2 linked regions of the Bombyx mori genome follow. The protein of the gene in region 1 purifies or fractionates together with the protein of each later gene. This does not show direct contact. Links are inferred from orthologs where the notes say so. Each region holds a gene or a part of one and is shown in the gene's direction. Other genes may lie near its edges.

Region 1 (12,235 bases):
CTACTGGAGCCCATGGACATCTGCAACGTAAATGCCGCCACCCACCTCGAGACATGAGTTCTAATGTCTCTGTTTTTGCAGTACAGCGGCTGCCCCGCCCTTCAAGCCGAAACGCATTTCTGCTTCACGGCAGAAATAGGCAGGGCGGTGGTACCTACCCGCGCGGATTCACAAGAGGTCCTACCACCACCAATTATTACCAATACCAATTAGTAAGAATTAGTGAAATGCGGGTGTTTTTTTCCTACCTAGTCGCTGATAGTATAATGGGCTATTCGCGCAGACGGGTAGATATGCTCTCGGGCTCGACCTGAGGGAATTTGCTAACACCAGCCCTAGCAAGAGAAGTGGTTCGCAGAATCCACCACCGAATCGGAATCGCGACCCACTGAGAAGATCTGGCGAGAAACTCAGAGGGCTCTATATCTGCGGATGGGTGGAGACCAGAACGCCAAGACAACTACTATATGGCAAACCAGAAGGCCGCAGAAGTCGTGGCAAGCCCAAACTCCGATGGTTAGATGGCGTTGTCAGGTTGTATTAAGCAAAATATCGTTTAAACCAAATAGTGTTTCACCCATCGATATAATATGTCAATATGAATGATTGAACAATATTCAATGCAGAGCAAGTGTTCCCCTAAATATATCTAAATTTCGCCAAAATTTACCAATACTGTGCCTACATATTAATGCAAACCTGTTACAAAAAGCAATTTCGCTAGTAATAAATGAGTCGACTATTATCAAAGCCGGCAATGTGACTTTTGGACAATTATTGGTAAATCAGAAAAACGAATTATTGACTTTGTATTCCATTGGCAGTCACAAAACTCTTCTGAACGACATCTTAGATAAATAACAGGTTAAGTATTAACCTTTATTTAATGCAGGTTTTGAACCGTATTCTTTGAAGGAGACGATTGTATTCAAATCAATCTGTATTGACATATCAATAACATTTTTTTATCCAAATGCACAGATTGCCACCTTTGATAATAGAAGACTCAAATACTCTTATACCCCACAATCTCGTTACTGAAATTTCTTCTAGTTGGTATAAAAGCATATCAGGTTGCGATAGCATATGCTAGATAAGTGTTGTCATTTATTTATTAAGAGTTCCAAAAGAAGGAATTTATAATTGTCAATCGTTAGTGTTTTCCTGTAAAATTAAATAATGTTACCATACATTTTATCTTTTATTTCATTGCAAATATAGCTATTAAGTAAAAATACACTATTTATAATCATACAAATCAAAGGTAAACCAAACATCGAAAAAAGACAAAGGTATTGAATTACACAGCCCCGATGTATCTATAGGTTGCATTCACAAAAAGAAGAAAAGTACTAACAATTCAACTTTATTTATCTACATTGCAATATGTAACAATTCACTTGATTACTAAATACATTAATCACCACATAAATCTATCAGTTTAATCCTTGTAGTCATCACCAATACGGTTATACAATTCATCACCGGTTCTCTTATTCATACGTAAGTATTTGTTGACCATCGGTTTATAGTAATAGGCTTGGTAGTCCTGGCGCTCAGCCATTTTTTTGATAATTTCTTTTTCTAATGCACGCAGTTTTATTCTCTGTTGTTCTTCATCAAGGAAATGCATAAATTTCTCATAATCCTAAAAAAGTAAAGTTAGGTAAATTGAAATCAATGTCCACATGTCCACAATTGCATTTGTATCATTTTAAAATAACTGACTTTGTCATAAACATTTTTTTTTATTGCTTAGATGTGTGAACGAGCTCACAGCCCACCTGGTGTTAAGTGGTTACTGGAGTCCATAGACATCTACAACGTAAATGCGCCACACACCTTGAGATATAGTTTTAAGGTTTTCAGTATAGTCACAACGGCTGCCCCACCCTTCAAACCGAAACGCATTACTGCTTCACTGCAGAAATAGGCGGGGCGGTGGTACCTACCCGTGCGGACTCACAAGAGGTCCTACCACCAGTAATTACGCAAATTATAATTTTGCGGGTTTGATTTTTATTACACTATGTTATTCCTTCACCGTGGAAGTCAATCGTGAACATTTGTTAAGTACGTATTTCATTAGAAAAATTGGTACCCGTCTGCGGGATTAGAACACCGGTGCATTGCTCGATACGAATGCACCGGACGTCTTATCCTTTAGGCCACGACCATACCATACCATAAGATACCAACGTAAATAGCAAATTGGGCTTCAATCTCTGACTCTATCTATTTCTATTCAGCATTTCCAGAAACTGCTATCTCTTGTTTTGTGAAACTAAGAAACATACTAAAGATGGAAAATCTTTGAGAAAAAGAATCCACACATAATGATGAATAGCAAGAAATAATTCAATAGTTAGTTTAATAATAGTACTCTAGTATTCCTAATTAAATTTATAAGCAATAACCATTTAGTTTAATTTCTACAAGAACCTTTTTAACACAAATATCTTTGAAAAATAGTAAAAATAATATTTTTATTAGTTAATACTACTGATTTTAGGTTTGTTTAAAATATTAGTAACATATTCAGATATCTCTATTTATCTACTTACAAACATTCCTGTTTTAATGAGAATCTTATTTTAAAAACTCAAATCAAAAGTTTGACAAACCTGTTGTGGATTGTTGTGAATATAGCGAGCAATAAATCTGGTGATTGGATGGCGGTGGTACTCCCAGTATTTGGGCGTATATCCTTCAGGGATAGGTGTCAATTGCGCCGGCCCAATGAATACGTTACAGTAGAATATAAGGGCACCGGCCGGTATAAGTCCAACCATCATGTAAAAGTGCAGCATATCCTTAAATTTGTGCCATTGCCATCTGTGATCAGGAAATTAAAATTAGGTTACATGTTAACAATATAATTCAATAAAATGCATTATTCTGACAGAAAAATGGCTTTTTAATGATAAACTATTTTTTTTTTGTTATGTTTTGTATAAAAAATATAAATTATTATTCTATTAAAATCAAAAGCGATTAGATAATCACTAGAAACATCACAGTACCTGGATGGCTGCAGTGCCATTGTTCTTTCTCCATGACTGCCTTTTAAGGTTTTCGCGGTGGTGAAAGTCACATTCTGTATTTTATTAGGCGACTTTAAAGAATTTTTTACCAAATTTATGCCGAAAGATCGACCGAGAGCACTCCAAGACACCATTTTTATTTTGGCCTTTTTGACAGTTGTCGAAAAATGTTGCCAGAATAATTTTTCCAATTTAACAGTAGCAATGGGTCTATGCCATAGCTATAGAGTCTATCGAAAACAAAAATTCAAAGATCATGTTCAACCTGTTAAGTTTGCCGCTAATTCCTGGGTAGTCTGACTCGGATCGGCTTCCACCATCACTTTCAATTCATTGTTATTCACATGTGTGGGCGGCTTTCCACGTGGTTCGTTCTTCAAATTAAAATTTCTATCACGAAAGCGTTTAAACCAAAATCACACGGTGCTTTCATTAGCAGTCCCCTCTCCAAACGCAACATTGATATTGCTAGCTGTTTCTGCAGCTTTAGTTCCGCGTCGAAACTCGTATTCAAAAATCACTCGAATTTTCGAAGTATTAACCATCTTTCTTGTCTAAACTGAATAAAAAAAAACAACTGAAAATCGGTAATCGAATGTTGCACATTTTTTAAAAGAAGAACCTCATAGGTACCGTTCGAAAAAAGTTTCACTTAAAAATCTCAAACCATGAAGGTTCTATGTCAATTCGAAGTAGCTATTAAAATAAAACGGCAATTTCGTACTTTAACCCCTACTATTAAGCTGCTAAAATTCACAATGCACCGTGAAATGATGTTTGTTATTTTTGGGAAAGGAATCACAAAATATAATATGATACTGATTGTCGCAGTGTACATATATTAATATAATATGTTAATAACATATATTATGTAATATAAAATATATAAATTTAGAAAGTAGGTATCACTGTATAAATATAAATACTCTATAGGTCTATGGGAGGTATGGAATAAAATATAATGGTATAGGAACGCTCACACAACTGTATTGCACAACATCATTGCTAACATCAAACATTTAGAATTACACACTTTAACGAATTGTTTAAGTTCGATAAATGCTAGAAATAAAAAAAAATTAAAACTAAAAAAATTCCACCTAATGTAATTTTTGTTCTTTAAATAGGAGATAGGTACATTTTTTTAATAAATTCCCATGGTAGTTTTACACTAAAACTTAAGGTGTTATAAACTTAAAGTACCTTATGTGAAAAGGTTTTTTACAATCAGCAACTAGGTTAATAACAAAACCGCGTGTACTCCACACAGCAACTGTACTGAACAGATACCTATTTAATAAGTGTTTGGAAAAACAGAGCTTTTTTTTTCTAGATATAAACATATTAAATACTAATTAAAATATTTTAATTTAATTTTGTTGTTGTATATATTACACATATTTTGTAAACTTTCAAATTCTTGTTTTCGCAATAGGCAAACTGCATTTCCAATAGTTAGTAAAATAATGATTATTTGAAATCGCCTAATTGAATAAAGGCCTACCGGAATTTTCATTTTAAATGCAACCTTTTTTTTGGCTTTTGCCATATGTATTTTTCGTTGATAAACCACAAATATTATAACTATTTTCAATGACATTGGAATTATTGTGACTGGTGGCTGTTATGAGTATTGTAATATGAATGTTTCGCTTCATTCCGTGGTACGTTGTTATTGCCGAATCAGTTGGTAACACTGGACAGCAGTTAAGGCGCAAATCCCTTTGCTTACTTTTTTTGAGAGAGTCGACCTTCGCTAGAAGTAATAGTGTTCTGTGGAGTCGACCTCTATGCAGCCAGCTCGACGAATCTGTGGGATTTTTGGCGGCAACGGGAAGAGCGAAGTTGTATGAATTGTTTCGGTAATTTCATTTCATTTCATTTTTTTTATTTTTTTATTGCTTAGATAGGTGGAATAGCTCTTGGCCCACCTGATGTTAAGTGGTTACCGGAGCCCTTAGACATCTACAACGTACCTAAATGCCGCCACCCACCTTGAAACATGAGCTAAATGGTCTCACTTTTAACAGTACAACGGCTACCTCGCCTTTCAAACCGAAACGCATAACTGCTTCACGGCAGAAATAGGGAGGGCGGTGGTACCTACCCGTGCCGACTCACAAGACGTCCTACCACCAGTAACTACGCAAATTATAATTTTGCGGGTTTCATTTTTATTAAGCGATGTTATTCATTCACTATGGAAATCAATCGTGAACATTTGTTAGGTAAGTATGTATTTCTAAGAAAAATTGGTGCTGGCGGGATTCCTACACCGATGCATCGCTACATATGCACCGGACATCTTATCCTTTAAGCCTCGACGACTTCAATTTCAAGTGATTAATATTTTAGATTAATCAATTTCATTTCATATTATTTTTCTCCTTCGTCTTTCCGATTGAAAAAGCGGAACTACTATATAGTTATTTAGTTACTTTATAATATTATTTATGACTTTTTAGCGGGAACGCGAGGAGCAAAGCTCTGAGATTATTTTAGCAGAAAGATGAGAAAGATATTCCTGCAAAGAGTAAAATAAAATGAAGGAAAAGAGAAACCTCATATGGCGTTTTTCATACAAACCTATTTCTTTCTTCTTCTTTTGCTAGTTGCCCCCAAAAGACATAGGTACCATATTACATAATTTTTACTATATACATACAGCAAAAATGCTGCTATTACGAACGATTACGATATTACGATTATGAACGCTAAAATATTAATATTCATATATGTATAGTATTGAAACGTTGTGAAAATAAATGTTAAAACGTTCAATAGATTTTTTGTATTTCTATAAAATTTACTAAATAGCACCATATATTTACACATCCAAATTGTGAATGACAATGGTACTGCACACCAGTTTTCATTTCGTCTCCTCCATCATAATCGAATCGCTAGCACAGGAAAGCTATTAAATCTATGAACAAAAATGATTTGAATTTCGCACCAGACTCATTGAGGATTGATTGACTCAAAATATTTATTTCCCACTGAAGCGGAGTAGAGCCAAAACTACAACGGAAGACTCAAGGGGTCGAAAGTTTCAATTAATAATATATTCCAGAACTTCCGGGATTCTTTGAGCTCGTCCACTGCTCTGAGCAATATTAAATATTCAATACCTGAAATACGTTTACGAAATAAATTATTTTTATCTTCGTGAAAAATGATGAGGATAATGGCGTCAATTAATACTTTTAAATGTCGTTGATGCTGTATTGTTATTTTTAATTGTCATAAAAAATCTGACCTGTTGCGCTTACAAAAAAAAAACGCCAGTTCCAATATTACATATTGATTTTTATACTGAGCATGCTCCGACCGACCTCCCATACACACCAGTGTTTGATAAGCTTGCAAACGACACCCACACGATTCACTAGTTTACTCGAAATCATTACTGTGAATATACAGTGTGTTTTGCTCATCAAATCGATATTCCTAGTTAACTCCTTGAAATGTGGTAAACTTAAAGTTCGTTTCGGGCTTATTAGAAATCATGGAGGAACTGTTGCAAGATATATTCAAAGAATCCACTGGTCCTAAGCTCTCGTCCTTGAAAAAATCAGCCCAAGATGCATTAGGTACGTAATTTGATGGACTTCTAAGTAGTTAAACGTCTAAAACAGAATATACTGCTGTGGAAGTCAAAATTAATTTGCGAATAAACATTTCTGATGAAACAGACAGTCAAAACTGTTTATGATCTTCTCTTGTTTTCCTACAAAATTATAATAGGGTCTTGTAATTTCTTCTGTGAGCAACTAAACAATAAACCTAGATTGGATCAATAAGATTCCTTATTTGGTTCATTCGTTTACCATTTCACTTCCGTTGAGTTTGTAATACAGAAATTTACCGGATTATATAGTTGCTCTTGCTACTGTGTAGTCTAAAAATTACCAGTCGATTTGTAGCTCTTTTGGTACGTATAATCACGAACAAACTAACGCAGTGTTGTATTTATTACAGCAGATTTACCCAGCATTACTCACTTCATCTTATTTACGACCATAAAAATTATTTAATTGCTAATCCAGGCTAATATATTTTTACGTCTCATCCGAACCTATCATCCAATCATACCAACTTTCACATTTCTCATATACAGTATCGTGTAAATGTCTAAAGTTTAAATTAAATCATGCACATACTACTACTGTATTTTAGTATCCAGTCTATAGACTGAAATCTTTTTTACGCTGGTAAAATTAAAAATAATCTTAAATTTAAAAATGACCGTAAAATTTTAATTACTTTGGTATATTCTTATCTTATTTAATAAGATAAAACTGGAAGTTAAAGAATACGGAAAGGTTTTCGGTCATATCTTAACCACGTAATGATACATAATACTCTCAAAATAAATTATTTTCGATATGATAAGTGATTAAAGTCGCTTACAGTAGCTAGCGTTAAACATCATGTCGCTGGCTGTTCTCATAAAGATTGAGAATAATCGATCAGTGGCTTTTTACAGTTGCAAAATATTTAGTTTGAAGGAGTAAATCAACATGTCTTCTTTTTTTTATTTAGAAGCGTGCACCTCTCAGATCTGAATTCACTACTTAAATGTTTACAAATTCATCTTAAAAAATTAATTGTAGTGCAAACTGTACCAACAAACGTCACATAACTGAATTCACGAAACTCGTTTATCTTTTTCATTTAATTGAGTGTAATTGTAACGTCTAATTAAAAATAACAGAAATGCCCTTAGTAGTAGTCTTTCTTTTATTTCGTTAAAGTCTCGTCACATGCGTTTATTTTGACTCCAAAATCCTTATGACTCGCAACAAAATTTCAAGACAAAAAAAACACTTCGATTGTCCGTCTTATTTCAAGGAATTTGTATAATTAGAAAATATAAATGTTTTTACTTAATACGTTCGTTGTATGATATGTAACCATTTTTTGACGTGACAACGTCTTATAATTCGACGAAGCCGGCTGCACGCACGAAAAAATGACTCATGCGACGTTACCTCGCCCTGAGGCGTTCCATTTAAGGTTTGAAGTGCAAGCGAGAGCGCGCAACGAGCGTCAAAGAGGCACAATCGGCCTCCGCGCAAGGGCGGATCCGGCTTTGGCGCCAGGAGGGGGTCACATAGTCAAATTTAGATGCGTTCGTTCCCAGACGTTTGCCATTATACAAAGTTATTACATTAAATTAATTAAATATTGAAGGTATGTAGTTATATAAAATCTGTATTTTTACAAAATATATAAATAAAATCATTATATTCAATTAGTGGTCCACCTAAGTCCTGGAACCGGCTCAGGGGGTGGTCATGACCCCCATGACCCCCATGACACCCCCCCCCCCTGGATCCGCCATTGCCTCCGCGTTCGGCAGCGTTCGACATCTGTCTCTCTCCTACTTGAGTGAGCGACGCATCCGCGTGGACAGCTGCTTTACAATAATACAATTCAAAGCACATTCATTCTTGTAAAAAAACTATGTACATAGTAAAAAAAATTGACATAATTGTATTTATGCGTACAAATAAATGTAACTTGATCAATTCAATAGTGATTACCATTTACCTCCTTCTCTATATCCATACAAAATATCTATCAAACAAATAAAATTAAAATTTTCTTTTGAAAAATGAAACCATTCCATCAGTATTTTCTTATGACGTTGTCACGTTCAACTATCCTCAGTAAACCGACTTTACAGACAACCGATTTTAATTCTTATAGAACTGCTATGCCTCCAAGAGAGTAACGCGCGCCGTCCTTCGTACGAGCTGCGACGCGCCTGTCTCCTCCCATTGCAGATCGCTTTGGAAACAAAGAGGCCAAGGCTAGTTACATTCGCAGTACAGGGATTTTATGTACGTTGCAATAAGTTAATAATAATCTATAATATAATAATATTTTTGCCCATAACGTTACGTGATATCTATTTATTATAATGGCTTATATTACCATGATGACCTACTTTTAATACGAAAAGGGATTAAAAGATGGTGGTAGTTTGGTAGTACTTCAAATCCTTGTTAAAATCGTTCCGTATGATAGAAGACATATATTTTAATATTTCCTGGGGCAGGTACCAATTTTTCGTGTCCCCGATTGAATTTAACAATGAAGTAATAGAGCCGATTAATAAATTGGCAAACTCCCTTTAATTAATTAAAATTGGGATTTCAACAGCCCTTTACAGTGGATACAAGCTTTATGTGTTTATCTTACATAATAATATTTTTAGCGCCAATTGTCTCATTATTTTCTCCCATCGATGTAGGTAATAAAGAATGACAATGTAGAGAGCCTTTTGCAAATTACCTAAGACTAAATAAACAAACACAAACCACAGTAATTGATAGATACGATGTATATATTAGTAAACAGTGTATTATTATTTAACGATATTATAATAAAAATATGTGCGACGTTGTATGTTATATTTGTGGATTTTTTTTCAATAAAGCAAGAATAAGACTAGTCGAGCTTAAGAAATTATACCGCCATTTTAATATTATGCATAAAGTTAAATAAATCAACAAGAGTTAATGAGCTAACCAATAGCATGCTTCTTTCAGAAAATCTTAAGAGATGACCGTTTCCACCGTGGAATCGAACCAGAAGACGATTCGCTGTGGATGCCCTCACAGTTATTATGTGCCACTGCTTCAGTCATGTTTCAACAACCAGAAACACAGGTAATAAAACTCTTTGTGCTTTTATACATTGAATATACATTGTACACTAATTAATGGTCTACGTGGCGTGTAATATCCGCAAGTAAGGAATTATACGTCTTTGGCATAATCGAATAAGTCACAGACTCAATCTTTATATATATACTAGCTGACCCGGCAGACTTCGTAGTGCCTCAATCGATAAGCAAAAGACCTAAACTTTTTATAAAATGAACTTAAAATAAACAAAAGGAAACCGTCCGCCGGGGGACACAACAAAATTGTTATTTTTATTTAATGCTCAGCATATTCATATTTATCTAGATTTAGATTTAGATTTATAGAGATTTATATAGATCTAGAATCTAGAAAGAATTATCATCTTTCCACTTCTATCAATTGAATATTTGTCAGGTACAAATATTCCGCATGTATCTATCACTGGCGTTGTCTCCTCGCCGAACATTGAACGGTCGTCTCTGTGTGTGGGCCTGCGGTCGGTGTGGAGAGGCAGCGGGTGCGGCTCCTCATGTGGCCGCTGCCGCGAGGGCTGCAGCCGCCCAAGCATTGAGAGCTTATTGTGCACAATTAGGTATGCCTCTTTTTTTTCCTGCCTGAGCTAAGATGAGAGGCTATTTCAGCCGTAACCTTAACTAGTAGCTCACGGGGCTCAAACCTGACGACGTTGCTAACACGAACCCTAGCAAGAGCCGTGCTTCGCAGAATCTACCCCACCGGATCGGAAACGCGACCCACTGAGAAAATCCGGCGAGAAACTCAGTGTGTGTCTGTTGGTTAATTTACTCGACGAGCCCTTCGTCGCAAGCGACGGGTTCGACGAGAACGATGACCGGTGCTTAAGGTTTTATTCTGTAAAATCAATTATCCGTTACAGTAAGAGGACCGGACGTCTCGTGAGCACTACAGGGGATATTTCAGTGGGGCACTTTTTATACTATACAATTAAGATAGAAACCTTATGTCTCAAGATAACGTTGTGATGTCTATGGACTCCGGTAACCACTTAACAACAGCTGGGACGTGAGCTTTATCCACTGTCAATGCATCAAAAAAATATTACTTACCCACAATAAAGACATAAGGTCGGAGAACCATGATTTCAACTTTTAAATTGAGTATTTCAAATCCATTGGTTCTGAAAAGTAATATTTGAAAGTTATATTACATCATCGATATCTTTGCGACCGATTGGTGGTCAAGATTCCTTAAAATCATTTATTTATACTATAAAGATCCGGATTCACTGATCTCTAAACCCTTAAGACTAACCTTAATTCCAATTAACTTTTTAACTGAGTTGTATTTACTTTATTGAGTTTTGACTGAAAGCCTTAATTAGTGTGCGCTACACAAAATGTTCTAGCGCCTACTAATAATACAAAAATTCGCTGCAGACGAGGAGTGTACCGAGCTGCTGTCGGAAGGTTCTCCACTTGGCAGGAACCACATAGTGGCAGTAGGCTGTTACAGTGAAGTAATACCAGTCATACAATACTTGTGCAGCAGATTGGCCGAGACACAGTCGTGAGTTGCTTAGAAATAAACAAAAACTGACCTCATATTTAGTAGTTTTTCTTTAATAATAATTAATAATTTTAGTTATATTTTTTGTAAAACTTCAGTCATTCCAAAGGATGGAGGAAATTTTCAATTTTTTATCATCAATTAACGCCTTTATGGTTAATGTCGCGCATTAGTGTGAGTTAAAGGTTAAAGGTATCTTATGCTACATCCTTATTAGACTAGAACGATCTACGAACCTCTAGCAGTTTAAAAGTAAAAAAACGATGAATCTGAGAAACGCTAAAACATTAAAAGGACTTTTTTTGGTAAGAGGGCGTCATGTGAGTCCGCACGGGTAGGTATTTCGCACCCTGGCTATTTCTGCCTTGAAGCGGTAATGCGTTTCGGTTTGAAGGGTGGGGCAGCCGTTGTACTGTGAAAGCTGAGACTTAGAACTCACGTCTTAAGGTGGCATTGACATAATTGATGTACATGAGCTCCGGTGACCACTCAACTCCAGTTAGGCCGTGAGCTCGTCCACCCATCTTAGCAATAAAATAATCTTAATAATGCTACCGTATTTCCGATACAGGAATCCAAAGCAAAACCCGCTGGCCCTATTCTTTTTGGATTGCCTCTTAACGTTGATGTCCAGCCTATCGGAACGTGTTAGCGGTAACTTGCACTTCACAACATTCCTGTGGCAGAAGTTTTGTCCGTCGCTTATATCTTTCCTCGGAACGCCCCGGGTCGACAAGAATATCAAATCCAGGTAATCTTTGAGAACCACTGGACGTTTTAAATCTCATCATATTTCACTGTTAGGGCGTAATAAGCAAGGAAAAGAAACATTCAAAAATTTTTTAGAAAATGAAAGAAAATATTCTTATATTATTTTATTTACTTATGCGAACAATTCAGAGTAATAATAACAACATTATGCAGCGAGATGTATTTAATGGATGGATTTTTGCAAAGCAGTGAAGATCATATTCAAATAATTTTATT
Region 2 (12,188 bases), on another chromosome or scaffold:
ATTTTTTTTACAGTGTGACCTGAGCTGCTGTAACCATACACCTGTTTTATTATTTAGAACTTATTTCCAAAGACACTTTCGCAATTACATAAAGCTCAGGATTCAGTTGGCGCATGAGATTTTATTATAAACAAAATCTCAATAAGAGGTATATCATATTACATGTCTAGTACTAACGTCTAAGTTTCAATTGTAGACCGCGCAACGGTAGATGTGGTCTACCGTTGCGCGGTCACGAGGGAGCCCGTGGACAACATGAACGTCGACACCCACCTTGAGGCGTGCGGTCAAAGCCTCAAGATTACACATCAAATATATATTTTTTACACCAATATTTTTAATATTATTGTAAAATTACAATTTATCTAGACGAGCGGGCATTACGACATTCTCTACTCTATCAAAAAAAAAAAACACAGGTCGTTTATTTTTCACGTGAACATTTTGTAGAACTGAGACGGTTTAAATTTATCAACCGTAAAATTGTCCAACTACGAGAAAAATATCTGCCTCGCTTCTGCGGGTGATTGTTCCATGGGACAGTATGGACACTTCAATCTGAAAGATAAAGGGGGACGAATTAATATGTTATACATCAGGAGTGAAATGAAACTTGACTTTAGACAATTACCATCAAGTATCAATGATTGTAAATTTTGATGATGATGTCCTTTTACATAAAGAAATGATCAAATGGGGATTCAGTACCAATAATGATAGACGTAAGAGAAATGGTATGGTATTCTGTATACGGTACGGTGCTATACTGTCAGGGGTCCCTTGACATCCTGTACGTATAGCCTTTTCCGTTTGTATGGTTTTGTTATAACATTTAATTTTATCATAATATATCATTTTATTTGTGCAAAAAAGACATACTTGGCTGCCGTAGCGAGTTTGTTGAGAGCGTCTCGCGATATGACGTGACCGCAGAGGAGGCGCATCGGCGGGTTCTGGTCGGAAGCCTGCTGGCGGAGGATCGGGCAAGCGAACACCGAGTGGTAGCCGCCGCCTTCGTCACCGAGGTCCACCTCGAAGGGCAGCTCGTCCTCCGCCCAGGCCGCGATGACGTGCGGGTGCGACATCTTGGAGCGGATGTCGTGCAGCGCGGGGAGCACGCGCGCGCCCGCCCGCGCCGCGCCCGCCAGCGCCGACAGCGGGGCCAGGCGCAGCGCGGCGCACGCCTCCGCCACGAACAGCTCGGCCGCCTCGGCCCCCAGCGCGCGCGGCTGCAGCAGGCGGCGGTAGGCGGGCGGCGGCGCGGGCGGCGCGGCGGCGGGCGGGCGCGCGCACCACGCCAGCGCGCACACGGCCGCCTGCAGCGCGCGCTCGTGCCGCGCCGCGTGTCGCGGGAACGTGCTGCGCGCGTACTCTATGGCCGCACCCACGCCCACCTCGCGCGCCAGCTGTCATACACACACATACCTCATTCTATAAACTATTTTGAAGTCGTCGTGGCCTAACGGATAAGACATCCGGTGCATTCGTGTTGAGCGATGCACCGGTGTTCGAATCTCAGGTGGGTACCAATTTTTCTAATGAAATACGTACTCAACAAATGTTCACGATTGATTTCCACGGTAAAGGAATAACGTCGTGTAATAAAAATCAAGCCCGCACAATTATAACTTGCGTAATCACTGGTGGTAGGACCTCTTGTGAGTCCGCGTGTGTAGGTACCACCTATCCTGCCTATTTCTGCCGTGAAGCAGTAGTGCATTTCGGTTTGAAGGGTAGGGCAGCTGTTGTAAGTATACTGAGATCTTAGAACATATCTCAAGGTGGGTGGCGCATTTACGTTGTGGATGTCTATGGGCTCCAGTAACCACTTAACACCAGGTGGGCTGTGAGCTCGTACAACAATCTAAAAAAAAATATGGTTCATGGAATTTTGCCAGTCACAGACATTATTAAAATTAATTTTGTATTTGTTGGTGACCACGAAAAGCACAATATTTGAAAATTCAGGTGCCATAAAAGTTTTTTAATGATAAATTTATTAGTTTGATTATGGTCACCTTCAAAGCGTACATCCTGTGCAAAGTGAACGGCAGCGGTGAATGCTGTAGTTCCTGCATGTGCTGCTCAGCCCACTGCAGGGCAGGAGTGGGGTCGCCCTCGGCCAATGCAGTCGCACAACGCTGTACCGACGCAAACGTACAGGTTCGCTCAACGCCACTGATTTCGGCTTCGGCTACAAACGTATCACCGACGTCCTCTAGGCCCTGTGTATAAAAAAGACACAAACTCTTTTCCCATCAAGAATATCTATGAATTTCCATATAAATGTTTGATACTGTTTAATATATAATGTATTTCGACACAGCAAGTCAAAGAGTGTGTACAAATGATCGAGTTCAACGGCGATGATGCCCCACATGGCACGCTTACCACCGAACGAGAGCCCCACTGCGCCGGTTAGAATTAAATAGAAGAACCACGTCATCGATTAGAAGTATATCCTGTTTTTACTCTACAGACTAATTCTAGTTCATCGGTATCCCGGAACACCAGAAGACACCTGGGCAGTCTCACAGGCGCTAACAGTGGCGGCCGACTTCGATTCATTTTCACCAAACGTTGACCTCATTAATCTAAGATTCTTGGGGCATCCGCGTGATGTTAACCAGTCACCAGTCCTACCTTGGTCGTTTCACATACTCTGCGCACTTATAAATATGCCATAGTTTGGCAAAAGAACAACTGATTTCACTCAACTATAGTTTAATATCTTAGCTACCTGTCTGTACAAATGTTGTGCAATGGCTTGTTCCATAATAGGTCGATTTTCATCAGAACAGAACATTTCCGCCTTTGGAGCAACTGCTGCATAATCGGCCACGAAATGCCTATCTATAGACTTGCCCACTCTTGACACTGTAGCATGGAGTTCTCTGTGATCTAAAAACGTAAATTAGCTTATTCATTATATACTTCTATATATAATATAATATGCATTACATTGTAATAATTATACCAAACTCTACTCTTCTATATTCATTGCACTTCACTTAACTACTGATTGTAGGACTTAATATGAGCTATAATATGATGCACAGATTGATACCACAGTCCTGCACATTTCCACCACAAATGTAGGTGTCTCAAGGAGTGTAGTAATATTCATATTCTGGCATATACTCGGTAGCCATCATAGCATGAATACCAATGCTGACCCCCGCATCCCATCATTAGACCGGAGGTTGAACTTTCAATAGTATACTTTATATGAGTTTTTTTTTACCTGTTGACAATTGAAATGCATTCTGTTTGATGGTAGAGGCTAATTCGCTCACGACCTGGGCTTGTTCAGGTGTTAATGGTGTATTTGGTGGTTCTGAAAAGAAATAATATACTTTATTATCTCTATGAGGGGGATGAGCCCTCATTTTACATTAAGAAAATTAGGTTTCACCAACCAATGAAACTATGAAACTCATTAAACATTTTTAGTACCAAGGGAGAGGTTTGCAGACTAAGCACATTGTCAAACCATTGTCTTATACTTCCTGTCGTACTGATAAACTAATCCTCGAATATATCCCATGAGGATATTTCACAAAACTTTTGAATCCAATTGGAACTCCAACTTTTAGATTGTAAGAGGACTAATAATATGAACTGAATAAACAATACAATTACTGAATGAACAAGAAGAAATTTTCCATTTTTTTATAAGTATTTATCAAATAATGTAACTGTTTGTTGTAACTTATTTTAATAAAAATGCATATCAATAAATGCATTAATGGGACATTAAACCATGTTAAAGATATGAGCATTATCATTAATTAATGTTAGCTATAAAGAGGGGTTGATATATTATTTATATGAGAATTTCAATAACCCATTTTTAAGTCGGCCTCCTGTAGAGTTTCATATATTTGAATAGCTGTTTGAAGATCTTAGCAACTAACAATTTAACACAATGATTTGTCGCATAATATTGCAAACCTACCAAACATCATACTCTTGATATGACAAATGAGGTTGACACTTTTAAGAAAATGTTATATTAACCCTCAGTGCTCTTCATGTTTTCGTACCACTGCCTCCCAGCAACTCGGGCACATTTTTGTAGCAAAATGAATTTCACTTGCTAGTAGTAAATGTTTTTGATTTTATTTAATTTATAACATACACTTCCTTCTTGTAAATAAAAGATAAGTTTTAAATTTTGTAATTTACCTTAGTATGATATCTTTGGAAATAATCTCTCATGTGCATGCTGGATTTACTTGGGCTAATTATACTAAATAATAAAAAGGGTGCGTGGACTTATGTACACGCGTAAGAAGTTATACTTTATTTTTATTAAATTTATTTCTTTTTTTTAATTTAAATTTTAATCAATTTGAAAAAAAATCGATTAAGCAACATCCTCAAACAGGCATATTGGACATCCCTTTTCTTGACATCGTATAAATTCAGTAATTCTCGGTATGGTTCGGAAAGTTCACCTGCGGCTATATTCAGACTCGCCAAGTTACGTCGGTCGTATTGTAATGAACGATTTAGTGGGCAACTTCATTCTGTTAATTTTGTATCACTGTACGAGCTCAATGTAAAATTTCACTCTCATCAATTTTTCATAGCGCGCCTAAAGAATTATAACTTCAATAAAAAGTGCTATTATATTAAAATAGCTTTAAAAAGGGCAATTCCTTCTGACCAGCAAAGACTACTTTACACACTAACCAGCAAAAATCACCATACCATCTTTTTTTTAATTGGAAGAACAATTTGTAATTTTCTTTATATGTGTCTTTTCATTATTTCCTTTCTTTGATGAACATGTTTATGTGGCTAGTTTGTTTTTCATTTTTGCATTGTCTGTGTTGGGAATGACTAAACCAAAATGTAGTAAACATGTAATGTGTAATAACTTACGTTGGGCTATTTCCCGCCGCAGCTCCTCTACTTTGTTAATAATATCTTGCAATACTTCATCGGTATGTTCATTTAAATTTGTAAATTTTGTAATTGCTTTGTCTAAATCCTGCTCAACCCCAATACAGGAATCCATTGTTTTTCAAGATTCCAGTCCCTACAGTGTTTTTCAAAAAACGACGCCTTATTGTATTAGAACAAAGAACTACGTATGACTTTACCAAATATTTTGAAAAGGTATGTATACTCTAAAAATTTGCATTAATATACAAATTTAATGATAGCAGACTAAAAACATTTTCTCTCAACTCTCAAGTGACAAAGTGAACGTTTGTCATTTCCGTTTTTTTTTTAATTTAATGATCTGGTAACAAGTCCAAGACCTATTTTTCTAATATTATTTTATGAAAAATGACATGAAGCGAAATGAGATGAATTTGATTAATTTTAGCCTGTGATCAAGTGGGATGAAATTAAATGAAACGAAATTTTGAAGTGGATTTTATAGAAAAACCAGAGAGATTATATCTAGTGCAGCAGCTTTGTCTCATTTTCCGCAAATGTGTAAAACAGTTAATGAATAGACCGTTGTTATTAATTTTGAAGTCGTCGTGGCCTAAAGGATAATACGTCCGGTGCATTCGTATCTAGCGATGCACCGGTGTTAGAATCCTGCAGGCGGATACCAATTTTTCTAATGAAATACGTACTTAACAAATGTTCACGATTGACTTCCACGGTGAAGGAATAACATCGTGTAATAAAAATCAAACCTGCAAAATTATAATTTGCGTAATTACTAGTGGTAGGACCTCTTGTGAGTCCGCACGGGTAGGTACCACTGCCCCGCCTATTTCTGCCGTGAAGCAGTAATGCGTTTCGGTTTGAAGGGTGGGGCAGCCGTTGTAACTATACCTTAGAACTTACATCTCAAGGTGTGTGGCGCATTTACGTTGTAGATGTCTATGGGCTCCAGTAACCACTTAACATCGGGTGGGCTGTGAGCTCGTCCACGCATCTAAGCAATAAAAATTAAAAAAATTAGTCAACGTTTTCCATATCAATCATAACGTAAAAGCAAATTATACAAAAATCAACATGTTATATTATGTGCTTGACTTCTTTAAAATAAAATCAACAGAGGTGTTCTTATCCCAACATTAAACAATTTTTAATTAATGGAATTAATGGAAAGAAAAATTGTTTATGGTCATATCTCGAAATAAGCGTGTCTATGGTCATTGCACAATTTGGAATTAGTTGCCGGATAGGTTAGAACGTAAAAGTATTTCATAAATAAATTACTATTAAAATACCCTATTATACGTTAAACATATTCTTGTCATGGCACAAAGTAAGATAAATGACATGGCAGGAAAATTCGCTAAAGGTGGGCCACCTGGTCTTGGCATCGGTCTCAAAGTGGTAGCCGTTGTCGGCGCTGCGGCTTATGGCGTCTCCCAATCGGTGTTTACCGTGGAAGGAGGTCATCGTGCCATTATGTTCAACAGAATAGGAGGAGTACAACAGCACGTATTCACTGAAGGTATGCACTTCCGTATACCGTGGTTTCAATACCCCATCATTTATGATATCAGATCCCGACCTCGCAAGATATCTTCCCCGACTGGTTCAAAAGATTTACAGATGGTAAACATTTCCCTCCGAGTACTTTCTCGACCAGATGCCAATATGCTAGCAACAATGTACAGACAACTTGGAACAGATTATGATGAAAAGGTTTTGCCATCTATATGCAATGAAGTCCTAAAATCGGTTGTTGCCAAATTCAATGCCTCCCAGCTGATCACACAGCGTCAGCAGGTGTCTCTACTAATCAGAAGAGAGTTGGTTGAGCGTGCTGCTGATTTTAATATTATCCTTGATGATGTATCCCTCACTGAACTAAGCTTTGGTAAGGAATACACAGCTGCAGTAGAAGCTAAACAAGTTGCACAACAGGAGGCTCAGCGTGCAGCTTTTGTAGTTGAAAGGGCAAAGCAAGAGCGTCAACAGAAAATTGTGCAAGCAGAGGGAGAAGCTGAAGCTGCTGAGATGTTGGGTAAAGCCATGGGCATGAACCCTGGTTATTTAAAACTTAGGAAAATTCGTGCTGCTCAAAGTATTTCGAGAATGATTGCTCAATCTCAGAACCGTGTCTTCCTCCCTGGAAACAGTCTGATGATCAATCTTCAAGATCCTACTTTTGATGATTTGTCTGAGAAACTCACTAAAAAGAAGTAACATGAGGCTGAGAGTGTGTGCGCTGAGAATCTGAAGCCAGCCGCCACTCTAAAAGACGAAATTACAGTCATAATCAGTGGTGCTGCTTCAGTTGCTGTTTAGTATTTGGGTTGTTCAGCAAATCACAATTCAAACAATTTAATCTTTGCATTTTAAGTTATTTAGTTTTGTAGGATTAATAGTATGTATGGGAAACAAAAAATGTCAATAAAGATTTCAAAACTCAAGTGATTATTCTTTATTGATAACTATAACTTGAATAAAAATATTTTCAATTGTTTGACTTTGTTTACATAAGATTTTATAATTAAAACATATCATTGTACAAAATACAATATTGTCTGGCTTATTGTTTTCAGTCAAACAGTCAAATTAATTGATAACTTGATTCTCAAACTGAGTAATTGAAATTACAGTTGAGTAATTCAGTAATTTGTTTATTACTGTTAAGTTTAGATCCAAACAGGAACTACGCTATAATTTGAACTTAAAAGGATTCATAAAATATATAGATTTACAATGCCAATTAGAATCTTTAATCAATTTACTGGTGGTAGGACCTCTTGTGAGTCCGCACGGGTAGGTACCACCGCCCCGCCTATTTCCGCTGCCGTGAAGCAGTAATGCGTTTCAAACCGAAACGCATTACTGCTTCACGGCAGCCATTGCGACTATACTGAGAGCTTAGAACTATATCTCAAGGTGTGTGGCGCATTTACGTTGTAGATGTCTATGGGCTCCAGTAACCACTTAACATCAGGTGGGCTGTGAGCTCGTCCACACATCTAAGCAATAAAAAAACTCCTGATTTGATATTTACAGATTGGCTGATTAGATTATGTACCAAGACATCTTGAGGAGGCCATGTTCCTTGATTTAACACAGTAATTTAGGCTTTAGTATTACAATAATTTAGTAAAACACAGTAGCTCAGTAATTTATTATATACTTTATTTTGTTAAAAAAAAAAAGACAAATAACTTAGTACAACTGTATTTATTAAATTACTACATTACATCTAATATCAAGCAAATTAAAATTTACTTTTTGAGGGCCGAAGGTTGTGGCAATCGGTACTTCGCCATCTCAATTTCAGCTTCGAAGAAGCTCACATTATCATAACAGAAATATTCTGGAACTTTGTACGCTCCGGTTTTTTTTGGATCCACACCGGGGCCCACAGGTTGTGAAGCTGGATGAATGACGGCGCTACTCAATCCATTGACTTCAGGAATCGTCGAATTTGTTGGAGGCGAAGAAAAACTAGGACTTTCGTTTTGTGTGGAGCCTTCACTGTAAAACCGAGTTGCAATGCGGAGCGTATTGCTCTTCAGCACCCCAAATCTATTCATTTTATTACACAATCGAATCATAGCTTTTACTTCTCCAATTTTGAATCATAGATTAATCACCATGGACTTCGAAGTAAATTTCAATAAAGTACTGTCCCAAATGTCAACTGTCAAAACTCTCTGACTATAGAGGACTTTGATTTAGACTGAAATGTTTGTGGGTCCAGTCCAGAGGATGGACTGCTCTAATCGGCATTAGGCTTTAAAATCACTTTAATATGCACTTCAACTCACGAAAAATATGTTCACCATTCGATTCCACTAATTTGGTGATTGAAAGGCATAGCTAAATGGAAATTAAAAGCCACAAAAAAAAATATTAAAAAGATAACGAAATAATAACTAAAGTATTAAAGTACATAATAGGTTGGGGAAAGTTTCTTCGCATTTTTTGAGAAAATTCACAACATTTTTTCATATAGTTTATTTACATTTAACTAAAGTATGTAGTTACCATTTAAAGAATTCTGAAGAGACCGAAACAGGTGAAAATCTGAAGGTGCAAGGTCAGAACTATACGGCGAATGCATTAACACCTCCCAGCCAAGTTCTCTCAATTTTTGCTGAGTGGCTAAAGATGTGTGAGGTCTAGCGTTATCATGATGAAAATCCACACCCATTCTGTTGATTAATTCCGGCCGCTTTCTCTCAACTTCTTGCTTTAATCTCATCAGTTGTTTGCAGTAGAGTTCAGGATCGATGGTCCTACCTGGTGGTAAAAACTCATAATGAATAATGCCTTACGTTGCACATTCAACAGTCTCAAGGTAGATTTTTTATCTTATGGATACCGAAAATAAATAAGAAAGACCTCAACAAACGAGGATGTGACATGAGAATATCAGAATTCAAATGTTCTTTAAAAAAGAGGTCAAAAAATCTATCGACATGAAATCAAGAGATAAATAAATGCAGCACTACAATTTACCTATGATCAGTTTAAGTATCTATTATAAAACGGCTGCTCCGCTGCATTATAAAATAACTGTCTACATTGAGTCTTATCATTTATTGGACTGTTTATAATCATTCTATGTGTAATAAGAGAAAACCTTTACTGAATATAAGGTTTTAATAAGCTAAAATTAATAGTAAAATTTGCTTTGATTACATTAGGTACATTGACAAATAACGAATAAAACAGATTGACAATGACGTCAACTTATGGCTGATAATTTCAACTAAGAAGTTTACATCATTCTCCCACACTATTTTAGAACATAATCTTTTAAAAATCCTGGCGTTTTATGGACGCGACCAGATCTACGAAGTGTTGGCTCCGGCGGTGGTGATGATGGTAATTCTGTCTCTATCTCTCTGCTATTATCAAGTACCACAGGTCCCGTTTCATTAGATGAAGGAATCTCCAAGTTTTGGTCTTCTGTTTCCGGAAGTGGTTCTGCGACGTTATGATAATCAATAGTGTTTTCATTATCTATTCGCAGATCTACCCTTTCTGAACCCAATGGTGCTAGATGACGATTCGACACTGTTGTTTCTCGGCCATCTGGAAGCCGAATGTATGAAAAGTCAGGATTGCTGTGTATCAATTCAACCTCTTCTACTAATGGCTGATATTTATTTGTACGATTAAATTTCTTCATCAAGACTTGTCCAGAATTTGTAAGCCACGATGGAACAGAAGTGCCGTTTGTAGATCTTCGAGGGTGTCTAAACATTCTTTCGTGTGGAGTGCAATTTATGGTTGTACAAAGTAATGATCGAATTGAATGTAAGGCTTGTGGTAATACTTGTTCCCAATTTTCTACCGAAAGATTCTTCGTCTTCAGCGCCAAAAGAATCGTTCTCCAAAGAGTAGAATTCAATTTTTCTACTTGACCATTACCTTGAGGGTTATAAGCTGTAGTTCTACTAGTGGCAATACCTCGAACATGTAAAAATTCCTGTACTTCAGCAGAAAGAAATACTGTTCCGCGATCTGAATGAACGTAAGAAGGCATGCCAAATATCATAAACAAGTTGTTAAGATGTTTAATCACTGTTTTCGAGCTTACATCTGAGCATGGGAATGCAAACGGGAAACGTGAAAATTCGTCAATCACGGTAAGTATGAATTTGTTATTATTATTTGTTGGAACTGGTCCTTTAAAATCTATGCTAAGGCGTTCAAAAGCAGCCGTCGCTTTAACAAGTTTCCTCTGGTCATCAAAGGTATTTCGGAAGAATCTAGGTTTTATTTCAGAGCAGGTTCGGCAAGATTTTGTCATTGTTCTGACTTCTTCAATAGAATAGGGAAGGTTTTTAGAGCGAACCCAGTGAAACATTCTTGTTACCCCTGGATGACAAAGAGCCTCATGCAGCGAGAAAAGTTTTGCAGTACGTGTTTCTACAGTGGCACAAACTCGGGATAGTGCATCAGCAGCATAGTTCTCTTTCCCCGGTCTGTATATAATATCGTATTTGAAAGCAGCAAGTTCCAGTCGCCATCTTTGAATCTTTTCATTCTTTATCTTACTTGAATGTTTCATATTAAACATAAAAGAAACCGAGCGTTGGTCAGTTACCAACTTAAAGTGTCTACCAATAAGGAAATGTCTCCATTTCTTCAATGATTCCACAATGGCGTACGCTTCTTTTTCAATGGCGGAATGGTTTTGTTCGCTTGAATTTAACGTTCTTGAGAAAAACGCCACTGGTCTAGAATTTTGCGTAAGTACTGCTGCAATGGAATGATCGGAAGCGTCAGTTTCCACTGTAAAAGGTATATTTTCATCAATTGCATGTATAGAAGACTTTGCGATATCATTTTTCAAGCCTTCGAAACATTTAATTTGCTCGCTTGTGAGTGGAAAAATCGTCGTATTAGCAAGTGAGTGGATCCGTTCAGAAAATTTTGGAATCCACTTAGAATAATGTGCGAACATGCCGAGTGTCCTTCTTAAGGTCGGTAAATCGCTTGGTGGAGGTAAATTAATCAGTGGCTTGAGTCGCTCATTGTCAGGTTTAATTATATGGTTTTGAATATTATAGCCTAGAATATTAATTGACTTTTGAGAAAATTTGCATTTTTGTATACTCAGTGTTAAACCGTATTTCTTTGCGGCATTCATAAAACTTTCTAAGTTATGATCGTGTTCTTCAAGAGTACGGCCAGAAATAGTTATATCATCAAGATACGCATATGTGTTTTGAAGCTTCTCTTTTCTTATAATCCAATCGATTGTTCGTTGGAAGCTCGAAACACCATTTGTTACTCCAAAAGGAATACGTCTGAACTGGTACAAATTTCCCAGTGCTTCAAAAGCGGTAAACTTCCTTTCTTCGGGTAGTATAGGTACTTGATGGTACGCGTTTTTCAAGTCTATTAGGCTGAAAAATATATTCTTTGCCACTTTCGAAACTAAGTCCTCAATGTTTGGTAAAGGGTACGCGTCGAGTTCTGTGTAACGATTAATTGTCTGAGAGTAATCAATTACAAGGCGTTTTTTATGAGTTTCGCTTTTTGTTATTAGTACTTGGGCTCTCCACGGTGATTTACTTTCTTCAATCACGCCCTCTGCTATAAGATTTCTGATTTCTTCTTTAATAAATTCACTATCCTCTTTGTTGTGCCTTCGAGACTTTATAGCAATAGGTTTGCAGTTGGGAGATACATTCGCAAAAAGCGGTACAGCTGGTACTGATGCTTCAGCTACGTTACATACTTGAAGTGGATGTTTTGGCCCACCGAAAGAGAACTCT

The links.
Region 2: the proteins of brefeldin A-inhibited guanine nucleotide-exchange protein 3 (region 1) and mitochondrial prohibitin complex protein 2 purify together in Homo sapiens (affinity purification with western blotting; 4 studies listed by BioGRID). This does not show direct contact. The link is inferred for Bombyx mori from reciprocal best matches to the Homo sapiens genes ARFGEF3 and PHB2.

What each region holds. Positions count from the first base shown.
Region 1 is NC_085109.1:10,555,574-10,567,808, forward strand, and holds the start of brefeldin A-inhibited guanine nucleotide-exchange protein 3, read left to right. Parts: upstream 1-6,496; 5' UTR 6,497-6,552; coding exon 6,553-6,637; intron 6,638-8,759; coding exon 8,760-8,893; intron 8,894-9,604; coding exon 9,605-9,724; intron 9,725-10,117; coding exon 10,118-10,295; intron 10,296-11,118; coding exon 11,119-11,248; intron 11,249-11,819; coding exon 11,820-11,999; intron 12,000-12,235. UniProt on the Homo sapiens protein: Participates in the regulation of systemic glucose homeostasis, where it negatively regulates insulin granule biogenesis in pancreatic islet beta cells. Also regulates glucagon granule production in pancreatic alpha cells.
Region 2 is NC_085124.1:11,786,260-11,798,447, reverse strand, and holds the start of mitochondrial prohibitin complex protein 2, read left to right. Parts: upstream 1-6,133; 5' UTR 6,134-6,234; coding exon 6,235-7,134; 3' UTR 7,135-7,361; intron 7,362-8,067; exon of another isoform or gene 8,068-8,174; coding exon of another isoform or gene 8,175-8,507; exon of another isoform or gene 8,508-8,587; intron 8,588-12,188. Other genes in the region: E3 ubiquitin-protein transferase RMND5B, read right to left, coding at 492-558, 880-1,406, 2,019-2,225, 2,741-2,901, 3,245-3,337, 4,891-5,026; uncharacterized protein LOC101746149, read right to left, coding at 8,175-8,507.